Mus musculus: one gene and its partners. The protein of the gene in region 2 interacts with the protein of the main gene of each other region in a pairwise test. Links are inferred from orthologs where the notes say so. Each region holds a gene or a part of one and is shown on either strand. Other genes may lie near its edges.

Region 1 (4,569 bases), on a different chromosome or scaffold from region 2:
TGAGATCTCCTTGACATTCAATTATAAAATGCCAAATGTAAACTATACTTGGGAGGTGGACGTAAGATCAGCTAAGTTCTGTCTGTTGTCACGCGTTAATTTTTCCATAACTATTACATACCTAAGAGCTGAACATAAGCTTCCCATGCCAATCTTAAGACTTTACATGTAAAACAGCACATACAGTTATATGTTATCAATCTCTGCATAAGCACTAAGTTCTTCAAAGACCTTTACGTACATAGATCAAGTTATTCATATATTTATTTATAGACCAGGTTTCACTAGCCCAGGCTAGCCTTAAATTTATGGCAATTCTCCTGCTTCAATCTTAACTGCTGGGATCACAGCTGCAAAATACCATGCCTCGCACCACTTTAAAAAAAGGGGGCAGTGGTGGTGGTGCACGCCTTTAATCCCAGCACTTGGGAGGCAGAGGCAGGTGGATTTCTGAATTCGAGGCCAGCCTGGTCTACAGAGTAAGTTCCAGGACATCCAGGGCTACACAGAGAAACCCTGTCTCAAAACAAACAAACAAACAACAAACAAAACAAACCAAACAAAAAGGGCTGGAGAGATGGTTCAGCAGTTAAGAGCACTGACTGCTCTTCCAGAGGTTCTGAGTTCAACTCCTAGCAACCACATGGTGGCTCACAACCATCTGTAATGGGATTTGATGCCTTCTTCTGGTGTGTCTGAAGACAGCTACAGTGTACTCATATAAATAAATCTTTTAAAAAGGATTCTTTATTTCAACTTGTTACTCTTATAGGCTCTTTAGTGGGAGGGCTCACTTTCCCTGTATAGGTCAAAAGAAAATACTGGAATCATTATAAATGACCAATGATAAAATGATCAACGTGGAAAGTGAGAGATTCCCAAAGAAAATGTTTAATTCTTTTTAAAATGATTACACTGTTCTCTTTAGTCTCTGAATTAAGTCCCAAACATCACTATGTGCCCAGGTAAAATGCTAGGGACTAAGAGTAAAGCAGAATTCCTATTCTCATGGTGTGTTCAATGAACTCTACTGAACTTTCATCTGAGTGTCTATGTAACAGCGACATGCTAGTCATTTGAGGCATGCAGAAGAAATCTACCCCTTCCTTGGACCTTACAACTTGGTAGAACAGAGAAACACACACAACAGTAACAGAAGACAGGAAGTGATACAAGCCACGGAAAGAACAGTGGTAAGACAGACAGAAAAAGAAGAAAGACACGTTCATCATTTCTGTGTCCCAGACCACAGACTAAAAATTAAGCCGGCTTAGCATGGGGCCCTTCAGATGTTAATCTGAGGTTCGATACATTATAGCACAAGCAACTATATGTCCTTTTGATTTTACTTTGCAGCTTCCACAGATAAGGTCACTGAACTTCTGTGTCAAACAAGAAAGTACAAGGGAATATAATGTACTACAGAGATTAAAAGTATGGATATCAAACAAGACTGTCATTTGGGATTCTGTGTCTCTAAGTTAAAATTATTTCCTCCTCGGAGTATTAACTTCCTCTAACCAAAACCAGGGGATGAAACTACCTAAGGGGTTGACGTATTCCATACCATTTAGCTAACTATGGCACTCTTGGAGAAGAGAGCATAATGGGACCAATAATCTCTACCAAGATGTAATTCACAATTAAAAAAAAAAAAAAGTCACATTGCTTCCTGTGGATTGTCCTTTATGGATAGACCACGGCTTTACAAATCAGCAGACTCAGGTAATTGGTTATCTATTTTAGGCCTTAGTTTCCTCCTCATGAAACGACAGGGTGGGACCAGATGATTTAAAGAGTCTCTTTCCGGCCCTAAAAAGCCCCATGACTCTATTATGACTTAATACACTGACTTCATATCAGGCTTTAAGAGTGGTAAGGGCTTTAAATTAAAAGAATTTCTCCATTCAATTAAGTTACTTCTTGCTAAGATAAACTCCTTTCAGGCAAGTCTCGACAACGTTCTAATTATACAAAAGAAAACTGAAAAAAAAATGAATTTACAAGCTAGAGGCACTCGGTATATATTAATACACACTGCCAGCAAAGCAAACATTTCAACGAGACTCAATTGATTTTTAAAATATTGAAAAGTCCAGCCTGCATCGTAATGTCAACTTTCAACTTAGTAAAAAAAAAAAATGTGAGTTCCTATTACTGTAATAAAGAAGTGCTTGTATGCACACGAGTCGAGAGTCGCAGGGCCAAAATATCTTTCTAAAGCATTGGGGGGTGGGAGGGGGCAAGCGAAAGGAAAGCAATCCCATCTGCTCAAAACTCTTAAGCGAAGATGTTTCTTCCAAAGGCATCTTCTCCTCCCGCCCCCCTCCACCCCAAGGAAAATCCCGAGGGCCTAGTTCCCAAATTCACGGCGCTGATAAGTCAGTTTCAGAATCAGACACCTCGAGATGGCGAAAAGAAAAAAAAAAAAAAAAGGAGAAGAGGACAAACTTCCTGGATTTTTCTCTCTGCAAGAGAAAAAGAGATTTCCTCTTGCTGACGAAGGAAAGGCCCCTTTAACATTTTTTTTTTCCCTCTGCACGGTGGCGGCTGCCAGACTAGGTGGGGCTCGCTCCGCTGCCTTCCTCCTGCCACTTCCCGCAACAAATGAAGCAAGCCAGCCCCGATCCGGGCAAACTTTTTCCCTGTCAGGCTCGAGCCCGCGGGGCGCCGGGGAGTGGTCCCCCCGCCCCCCCTCGCGACGCTGCTCCGCCCGCCCGGCCCCGGGCTGGGAGAAGCCCGGGTGTCCGCAGAGGACAACTTTCTGGTTTCCGCTCTAACTTCCACCCACCGCCGAGGCGGGGAGCGGGGCGCGGCGGGGAAGGCTGCGGGGGCCTCGGGCAGGCGGGTGGGGGCTCCTCGGGCGCTCACTTCCTCCGCCATATTTCAGACATTTGACCCCTTCCGCAAAGCGCGCTGCTCCCCCGCCGCGGCCGCGGTTCCTCCCCGGCCGCCCCGAGGCGGCGCGCCCCGCCGAAGCGAGCGAGGGACTCGGGGGGCCCCCCGCCAGCCACCTGCCGCGCGCCCGGGCCACCCTCGCCGCCGCGGGGGCCATCGGGCTGCCCCGCCCGGTCCGCGCCGCACCCCACCTCTCCCCTCAGCCGGCGCCCGGCCCCCCGCCAGCCTCGCGGCCACGCACGCACCCCGCGCCCACCTCTCGCGCTGTCACCGGGTCGCCGCCGTCGCCCTCGCCGTCGCCGCGCGTTCCCTTCGGGTCGCTGCTCCCGGCGCCACGGCGGTCTCTGCCGCTGCCGCCGTCGCCGTCGCCGCCGCCGCCGCCGCTCGGGCTGCTTTCCACGCCTGACTCTGGGCGAGGTTTGGCGGTGTCGCCTTGACGTCAGGCGTTCAGCCTCGCTCTCGCTTCCGCCCGCGGGCGGGGCGCGCAGGAGCGCAGCCCGGGAAGGGGCGGGGCCGAGGCGGGCCCTGGCGGAGGGGGGCGGGGTCTCGTCGTGCTCGCCTCGCAGTGGGCCTCGCCCCGGCTCTCGGTCGCCGGCTCCGGCCGTGGCCCTTCTCCCCTGCCCTGCGTCTCGTTGCTGCGGTCGGCCTCGCCCCCCGCTGGCTGGGCTGTCCGACATAATCGGTGTCAGCCTCAGCGGAGCGCATCCGTTTCGACCCCAGCGGGTAACGGGGAGCTCAGGGGCTTGGAAACCTCTGACGCCTTCGCGGGGCCTCCGAGTGCACAGTCGCCAACGCCCCCAGACCGTCGGTGTTCGCGTGGTCCTTTGTGCTGGGGAAGTAACAGAGCAGCAGTTCCCACTCCCAGAGCGCGAGGGCAGCTTTTCATTTTTCAAATGGCCTTTCTTTAGGTTTGACAAGTATTTCAGCCTGTGGTGTGTTAAGCAGGGCCAGCTGTCCAAATTACCCTGCCAGACGCAGTTCGCGAATGGAGGATTCCAAAGCATGCTTATGGCCTGTGCCTAAGTGAACAGTTTATAGAATTAAAATAATTGGTTCATGGAAGAGCATGCCTGGGGCGCCTTCATGACTTTATAGATTACTCATAGATGTCAGTCTATGATGTGACTCCGAAAAGCTCTGTCCAAAAATGACTTGTTCCAAAGAGCACAAGAACTTACATCGATCTAGGTAATTAGAATATTTTCTCACCATCACCTTTAATATGAGAATCATGCTATCAGAGCTTTGTTTGGAAGACTTTGTTTCTGCTCTGATTACGCTCTCTTCATTGCGTGGTCCTGGCTGGCCTGACCTTGCTATGTTGACCAGCTTGGCTTTCATCTCAGATACACCTGCCTCTACGTATGGAGTGCTGGGGATTAAAGGCATGCGCCACCACTGCCAGCGAGGGAAAAGGTTTTGATGAACAAAACTTGAGAGGAAAGTACTGAAAGGAGTAGGCAATTTAGCTGGCCCTCCCTGTACAAATTATTCTGGAAATTTAACGAACCCTAGAAGAGAAATGGAGACGTGACCACTACGCTAACCTGAGTTAAGTGAGCGAGTAAGAAAGAATTATAGCTGGGTCTCAGGATGCCAGTCTGTAAGAGCACACCTCTTTCTTCTGCAGACTGAGCAGGAGGTGGCTCCTTGCAAATTCTAGGTTGCTGA
Region 2 (3,724 bases):
GGCTTAAGCTGCAGACGGCCGCTACACTGGGTCAGGTACCCTACCATACCCACCCCAGTAGGGCCTCGGCCCCTTGGTGCCCCTCAGTGCCAGGAGCCGGAATGGTGCTTAGTCATGTTCACCTGGGTGACCCCATGTCTGAACCCTCTGAGCTAGTAGCCTGTGCTGCCTGCCACCGCAGCCTTAGGGCAGGGCTGGGCATGGGAGGCCAGTGAGCATCAGCTGCTTCCTCCTTATCATCCGAGTGGAAATTATTGGTTCCTCTTGCTTCAGGGGCACATAGCTCCCCAAGACCATGTGGAAGTTGGTGGCAAGCTGTTGTAGGACACTGTGCCCTGTCCTGATAGCCTGCTCCCCATCCCAATTCAGGTGACCAGCCAGGATAAGGCTCCGACTGTCATCCGAAAAGCCATGGACAAACACAACCTAGATGAGGACGAGCCGGAGGATTATGAGCTGGTGCAGATCATCTCAGAGGATCACAGTAAGTCAGTCAACTGTAGGCCAGGGCTGAGGGGCGGCTCAGCACCGGCCCCTTCCCCAGAGCCTGCTGCTGGGCCTCTCCATAAGAGACAAGAGTTGAGGAGAGAGGCTCATGCGTGGGCCTGTCAGAGAGGACATTGCCTGGTTAAAATAAGAAAGCAGGTACTTCAGGAAGAATGCTCAGTTTAAAATCCACACACGAGAGGCTGGATGGCTCAGCGGTTCAGAGCGCTGGCTGCTCTTTCAGGGTACCCAGGTTCAGTTCCCAGCACCTACATGGCAGCTCATCACTGTAGCTTCATTTGCATAGATCTGGCACCTTCCTAGCCATACATGCAGGCTAAACACCAACACACACAAAATACAAATAAATACATCTTTAAAAAAAAATCCACACATGAGATGCAAAAAAGCGCACAGACGAGTCAGCATTCTAGAAAGAAGGATGGAGTCACAAGCCTGGGCTGGGGAGTCGGCTCAGTGGTTACAGTGTACAGTGTGCAGTGTACAGTGTACTGTGTGCTGGGCAGACAGCCTAGTGGTTACAGTGTACAGACTACTGTGTGCTGGACAGATGGCTCAGCAGTTAGAACTTGATGCTTTTCCAGAGGTCCTGAGTCAGTACCTAGTACCCACATGGTTACTTATAATCCCCTAAGTGTGTGCTGCTCTTGCAGAGGATCTGAGTTCAGTTCCCCCCTCTCAGCTTCTCCACAGCTGGCTGACAACCTCCTATGAGTCCAGTTGTACAGGATGTGATGCCCTCTTTGGGCCTCCATAGATGCATGAATGTAATTAAAAAGATAAATAGAAAAATCAGGCCATTCTCAAGGATCTTGGAGAATTTCAGGGGCTCTGTGCCTATGTCCTTTTCCCCAAAAGGAGGCTGTGGCCAGCAGCTTAATGTTAGAGAGAGACATCACCACAGAGGCCACCCATGTCTGTCACCACAGACACTGCTGAAGTGAGCTGAACACCCCCATCTCACCATTTGCTGCTGTCTGCAGTAACTCCCAAGATACCTAGATGTTCTACTGCAAACCTCCTCTCAGCTTCTCCACTGTTTTGGTTATATGGACAGGGTGAGGGGGCCCCTTCCTTCCAGAAGGCAGGCCTACAGAGGCTCAGGAACTAGAGGCAGACACGGGGTCAGCAGGAAGTCCCGCTTGGTAATGATGGACAGATTCTAGGCCAGAGGTGACTAGTGGAATGGAACCCAGAGGAAGGTTCTGCCCTCTGCTGGTCCTTGGAGCCTTGGTGAGTAGCAGTGGAGCATCATGGAAGGCAGTGTGGATTCCTGGAAACCTGCTCTGGCTGGAAGTCCTAGCCAGCAGAGAGAGCCGTAAAGGTGGTGTGGAGAGACTTCCTTAGGCTCTCATTGACCTCTACTGGGGTCGCAGGAGAGGTCCTTGTTGGAGCTGGATTGGAGGACTCCCAAGGCCCTGCTGTGGCCTGGCCGGGAGGAGGCTCTCAGGAGGTGGGGGCATCTCAGCCGCATAAAGCACCACTCCCTGTCCCTCTCCCACCAGAGCTGAAGATTCCAGAAAACGCCAATGTGTTCTATGCCATGAACTCTACCGCCAACTATGACTTCATCCTAAAGAAGCGGACCTTCACTAAGGGGGCTAAAGTCAAGCATGGAGCCAGCTCCACCCTCCCTCGTATGAAGCAGAAGGGACTCAGGATTGCCAAAGGCATCTTCTAAGGACGTCTCCTGGGACGGGCTGACTGGCTGGAGACTAAGCACTTACAGACTAGAGTGGCCCTGGCCACACAGGTACCTCTGCCCACCTGCCAGTCCAGGCTACCCCCCTACTCCACTTTCACCCTGAACCTCTCCTGCTGCCGGGATTGACACCTGCCACTGACAGGCTGACCTGGCCTCTGGGGACCACTTGCCGCCTTCGGTGCCTTCTGCTCTCTGAAACCAGAGGACTAGCTGACTTTTGCCAAGGAGTGTTGCCAACTGGGCATGGGACCTTGCCTGCCCTGGACACTATCCACCACACTTTGCTGACACCTCCCCAGGTGCAGATCACTGCCACCCATGCTCCCGGATGCTCCAGGACACACATACACCCAGCAGGGCTGCCGACTGCATTCTCTCCTTGTGCCCACAGGCACTGGCCTGGGACTTTCATGGAGGTCCTAGCCTTTCCTCCCACACTCTAGCCTTTCTCAGGCTGCACCAAAGATTCCACCTTCAGGGCCTACAGAGTGAGGGAGCCTCGCCCACCAGGAGCCCAAGCCCTCCCTTGGATCAGAGAGAGAAGCCCTCTCGTGAACTGCCCGGTTGGTATTGAATCCCAGTCCACTGAAAGTGCCATTGACCACCGCTGCATCCGGGCTGTACAAGACGACACGCAGTGGGAGGTTTGTGGGGAGGAGGAAGACAACTGAACATTTGTATAAAACGTAAAAAGTTTACTGATTGGGGTGGGACAATATTTATTTGTTGTAAATAGAAAATGCTAGACTTGAATATTATATTAAAATCCCGTTTCTACTACGGCCTGGTCACTGTGGTTTTACTGTTTTTATTTCCTTGCTTATTTTCAGGGTTTTCTGACTCTTTTGTAAGGACTCAGTTGATTTCATGCAGGCAGAGAAGAGGCAGCTGAAGGAGCACACACCCACTTCATGTGCAGCAGACAAGTTAAAGGAGTGATGTGCTCAGTGCTACAGCCTCTCAGCACTCCTGGGGTGTTCTCATGAGGAGATGGCCTGTGAATGGCTGGTGTCAGGCGGTGGCTCCAGGGATCAGTCTCTATAGAGATAGGAGATTGGGGAGTGGGGTGGGGGCTCTACAGCTAAGAGCACACACATATGCGGAAATCTCAGGGAGGTGTGGAGGGCAGAGCCCAGAGGCAGGCTTCTTGGAGAGGACCTGGGTTTGCTTCTCAGTACCCATATCAGGCAGCTCACAACCACCTGTAATTCCAGCTCCAGGGGATATGCCTCTTTTCTGGCTCCTCAGGAAAGCATGCAGCCAACACTCATACACATACGATAGGTAGGTAGGTAGATGGATGGATGGATGGATGGATGGATGGATGGATGGATGGATGGATGGATGGGTAGAAGGAAGGAAGATAGGTAGGTAGGTGAATGAGATAGAAAGAAGTGGTAGGTTGTAAGGCAGCAGGGTGGCTCAGGAGGTGAAAGTACCCATTACTAAGCCTGACAACCCAACTCTGCTCCCTGGGACCAACATGGTGGGGAAAGTCCAACTTCTGTAAGT
Region 3 (4,653 bases), on a different chromosome or scaffold from region 2:
AAACACTGTCAAGACTCAGCTACTTCACTATTAGATTATAAAGCACAGAAGAATGTAAAAGTTCCCTGAGAGCAAAGGCCCTCTAATTCACCCCTATATTCCCACTAATTAGCACTCTGTGAAAAGCAAAAATGAGCTAAATTCAACCTGTCTAAAAACAATCGTCTGTGGTGATAACACCCAATGAAAACTAAATTGCCATGAAACTTGTGCTCAGAAAACACGGCTGTTAAAACTAGATGGCCAACTAACTATATGTCTATTCACATACTGATCCTTTTAGAAATAAATCACAAAGAAATATTCCAAAAGGAAAAAAAAAATGTTGCCTAGACTACTGTGAACCATCATTGTTATTCTATGGGGAGGAGAGGATACCTACATGCCCGACAGAAAGAAGATGGACAATCTTAGCATGGTTGAAAGGTTAAAAAGGAAGACATAGGGCAGGATGTAACTTGGTTACTAGGCATTTGCCTAGCAAGTTCAAGGACTTGGGTTCAATCCCCAGAACATTAAAAAAGGAAAGGAAAAAAAAAAATCCTAGATCCTACTCTTTCCTTCCTTCCCCAACCTGAGTTGACTTCCACACAATAGTCAGAAGGATGTTCATAAACTTAGGTCAGATAAGGTCTCTCTTCTACTCTAAGGGCTCCCCCATGTCAGTCAGTGTAAAATGCAAACGTCCCAGTACTGAGTGTAAGAGCCCCCCTTACTTCTCTAATCTCAAGCCCTCTTCTCTCCCTGCTTACTGTTCTTACACCACACTGCCCTCCTAGCTGTTCTCAAAGGGTCACATATACTGGAGGGTCTTTGCCCTAGCAGGCCGCTCGCTCTTCCTGTCATCTTTTTGCATCTGAGGAAGCACACAGCCCTCCTCACTTCCTTCAGGTCTTCCCTGACAGTATTCTCTAGCCCCTCACCAGTCCTCACCCTTCCACACAGCTCTAACACCTGACACTACATTTACTTGGCTAGGGTCTTGTCCCTCCTGCTGAAGGGATGACAGCAAGAACTCCTTATCCACACAGCAGACATTCAATTAAGTACTTCCTGAATGTTGCATATTTTCACAACTGACTACATGAAGACCACACATATGAACAAGCTTGGAAGAGGAAAAAAAAGAAATTATTTGATTTTCAAATGCTCATATTACTAAAACATAGATTATACAAAAGTCTGATTAGTCATGATTATGAGTTTAGAGGGGTCAAAATATACTAGGGAGTATTGGTTAAAAATGGCTACTGGTTAGAGCCGGGGATATAGCTCAGGGGCAAAGTGCTTGCCAACCCTGCTTGAGGCTCTGGATTAGCTCCTCAACACTACAAACAAAATGACTGCTAAAAGTTCCCTGCATGAAGCTGGGTTTCATCCCAACACCACATAAACCAGGGAAGTCTATACTGATCCAAGCACTCTGGAGGTCGAGGCAAGAGAGTTGGTGGTTCAAGGTCTTCCTCAGTGACACCACTGAGCCACAGGAGATTGGGGGGAGGGGAGAGAGGTTCCTGAGAACTTTTCCTCATAAAACTGAAATCAATTTTAAACCTTGTTCCAAAATCCTCAGAATTTAGGGTGAAAGCACGATCACACCTGAGGCCACAAAAAGTGTGCACTTTTGCAAAGTTTTAATATGAAACTGAATAACATCGAGATCTCTGTTCACTTTTAAGATCGGTGTCTATGGGTGGCTTTAGAGGAGACCAGAAGCTGAATACAACATTCTGGGGATAAATGTCTGTTTTGTTTTTCCTGGGCAAAGGAAGAGTTCATATGCATCACCATGTTCTAGAAATGGTTAAGAATGACATTTTTTATAATGGAAGCGGAATGCAACATTTAACATAAAGATTTCTCTCAAAAAGATAAGAGATGTGTAAACAGACCACTCAACTCATTCGACAAATGCTGGGACAGGTATAATCCTTGCTAACGAACACAATCATAACAGAACCTGAAGTAGCAAGGAACTAAACTAAACAAGAGTCACACTAAGAAAGAATATCCGAAAATGTAAATTTAATTTTGAAACAAAGTGTTACAGAAGAGCATAAAGACAGGAAAGAGTCTGGGACCTAATCTAGTACTTACTCTACCAAAGTGTTACAGAAATCAATTACATCAAAAGAAAAAAGTACTCACAGGCATATCTACCCCCACACACTCTGACAGGAAACTCAAAGAAAGTTTCCAAATCCTGTTTCCAGCATCATCTCTTCTAACCGCCCGCTTCTGAAGGCTAACTCCCCTGGTTAATTCTGAGAGTCGACACTTTGACTCTAATAAAAACAGTATCTTCAGCCACCCAAGAAGCAGACAACAGCGGTTGGTACCTGTCCCGCTTGGCCCATTAACCTCCTGCCCTTTTATTCCATTTCTTACACAGTACTTCCTTCAAAGCAGCGACAAAACGATTTTCCTTTCCCAACGGCAATACACTCACAGTTTCTGAGCGGTAGCTCTTTTTCCAAGGCATGAAAGGTCCCCTCAACTCTAGTTTTCTATCCTGTGAGGAAATCTCAGATAGGAGGGGGGGCGGACGCGGGGGACACAACTGTCCTTCCTTGCTCTTCTCCTTACAACAGCCAATTACACAACTCAGCAGAAGACACTGCCCTTAACTTTCTGAGTAAGGAGACAAGCTACAATCCCACCACCCCACACTCCTCACACGCCCTCGGTGGGCGGAAGACCGGAATCACACCGTGGCCTCTTTCCTGACAAAATTCAGGGGTAGCAGCAGATATCAGAGAGTCGAGAGCGACGCTGCAAAGGCGAACACATGGCAAGCGGCAGAATACAGAGGGCAGGGAGGGCGGGAACCCGGGCTGGCGGCGGAGTGGGACACAGAGGTGTCAGCGCTCGGCGGCCGGGGCAAAGGCCGCGCGGAGGGCACCGCACCTCTCCGTCCGCGGGGACGACAGCCGAGCGGGCGCGGACACGCGTCCCATCTCGCGGCCCGCCCCTCGCGGCCGGTCCCGCAGGCCCCGCCGGGCCGCCTCGGTCCGCGGGCGTGGCTGGCTCCGGCCTTCAGCCGCGGCCCCTCCCGCCCGCCGGGCCCCCGGCCGCCGCCCCGGACTCGCGGACGGTTAAGAATAGGCCACCGAGGTGCGGCCAGTCCGCGCCCCTCACTCGCACCCCGTACTCACCCCGCGGCCCGGCGCCTCCTCCACCTCCTCCTCCTCCCTCCTCTCGGCCGCGGCTCGGGCTCGGGCTCTGCACGGCGGCGGCAGGAGCAGCGGCCTCGGGAGCGGCGGCGGCGGCGCCTCCGGAACGCGCACGCACGCAGCACGCAGGCCCCGCCCCCCCCGCCCTGGTCTCCGCCTTCCCCGCTGTGTCCGGAATCTATTTAAGGGAGCCGTTCTTCAAAGGGTGGGGGGCATAGTGTGCCAACAGGAACTGGGGCCTTGCCTTTGAGAAGGTGGTTAAGGCCAACATTGAAATGAGGAAGGGAAAAAAAAATCAGAAAGAGAATTTTGAAGGGATGCAACCATGGGACAGCTGTTAGTTGAGTGCCTAGTAGGTCCCCAATGCCTAGGCATACATAGGGAAAGTCACTTATAGAGCTCTCATCCTCGTGACCCAGGAGAGGGAACACGAACAACAAAAAGAGTAGCAAAATTCACAGGTCACCAGGGAGGGCTTTGCATGCTTTTGTTCGTGCTATGAAGAAACGAGCCTATCCAAAAGAGGCTGGATGAGAAGAATACCTTCCTGGGTTGAGAGGAAATCAGCCACAAACCCCGAGGTGGGGTGTGTCTTCCATATTTCACAACTAGCAAAATGCAAGCGAAAGGATGGATAGATAAGTAGAGTCTATGGCCAAAGAGTACTGAGGCGCCAAGATCTGGACAAACGACCAGACCCGGTGGAGCCTTTGGGCCATTGTAATGACAACAGGAAGCCCCGAGGAGAGGGTGGGCCCAGAAACAACTATATCTAGTTCATGTTTTTAAAGGTTAACTTTATGCAGGGCGTGGTGGTTTACTCCTGGAATCCCAGCATTTTGAAAACAGGAACAGAATTGCCACGAGTTTGAGGTTAGCCTGGACTACACAATGAGTTTCAGGCCCATCGGGAACTGGAGTGAGTCTCACTGTGTATGTAAAATATCCAACTGAAGCACGAATGTTCACAGGGGAAGTCTAAGGTGGCTATTCTCGTCCAATTGGCCAAGAGTGGTTATTTTATTTTAGATTTTGTTTATTTTAGCTTTATTAAACCTATTTTAATAGATTTAGACTTGAGAAAGCAGAGGGTCGAACGAAACAATTAGGAATGAATCTTAGGTTGGGGGCCTGCTGACTGATATCATTTAATAAGAGAGAAGATAGGGTAAGAACAAAGCTGGGACCAAAGAAATTGAGAGTTCAGTTTTATGGGGGATGGAGAAAGTTCAGTGGTGATGAGTCTGAGATATAAATTTGAGATCCATCAGGATGTAGATGATTTGACCCTCCGGTCTACATAAACTCTCTTAGGGATGGGGAGTAACTGGAAGAGAGGACCAAGAGAAACTTAGAGGTTAAAGATAAGCAGAGTTGACAGTCAGGTTAGAGGAACCCCTTGGAAGGAAGGAAGTTGTTAGGGAGTTGTTTTAGAAAAGAGGGAGTGATCAGTCAGTTCCCTTGCCTACTGCTGAAATAG

Evidence for each region.
Region 1: the proteins of Ralgds (region 2) and Rap1b interact in binary tests that used the Homo sapiens proteins (3 or more experiments, as listed by UniProt). The link is inferred for Mus musculus from reciprocal best matches to the Homo sapiens genes RALGDS and RAP1B.
Region 3: the proteins of Ralgds (region 2) and Rap1a interact in a two-hybrid assay, tested with the Homo sapiens proteins (3 studies listed by BioGRID and IntAct). The link is inferred for Mus musculus from reciprocal best matches to the Homo sapiens genes RALGDS and RAP1A.

The regions. Positions count from the first base shown.
Region 1 is NC_000076.6:117,842,677-117,847,245, forward strand, and holds the start of Rap1b (ras-related protein Rap-1b), read right to left. Parts: upstream 3,299-4,569; 5' UTR 3,155-3,298; intron 1-3,154. UniProt on the Homo sapiens protein: GTP-binding protein that possesses intrinsic GTPase activity. Contributes to the polarizing activity of KRIT1 and CDH5 in the establishment and maintenance of correct endothelial cell polarity and vascular lumen.
Region 2 is NC_000068.7:28,550,080-28,553,803, forward strand, and holds the end of Ralgds (ral guanine nucleotide dissociation stimulator), read left to right. Parts: intron 1-369; coding exon 370-484; intron 485-2,012; coding exon 2,013-2,188; 3' UTR 2,189-3,003; downstream 3,004-3,724. UniProt on the Homo sapiens protein: Functions as a guanine nucleotide exchange factor (GEF) activating either RalA or RalB GTPases and plays an important role in intracellular transport. Interacts and acts as an effector molecule for R-Ras, H-Ras, K-Ras, and Rap.
Region 3 is NC_000069.6:105,798,084-105,802,736, forward strand, and holds the start of Rap1a (ras-related protein Rap-1A), read right to left. Parts: upstream 3,299-4,653; 5' UTR 3,156-3,298; intron 2,980-3,155; exon of another isoform or gene 2,711-2,979; intron 2,488-2,710; exon of another isoform or gene 2,450-2,487; intron 1-2,449. UniProt on the Homo sapiens protein: Counteracts the mitogenic function of Ras, at least partly because it can interact with Ras GAPs and RAF in a competitive manner. Together with ITGB1BP1, regulates KRIT1 localization to microtubules and membranes.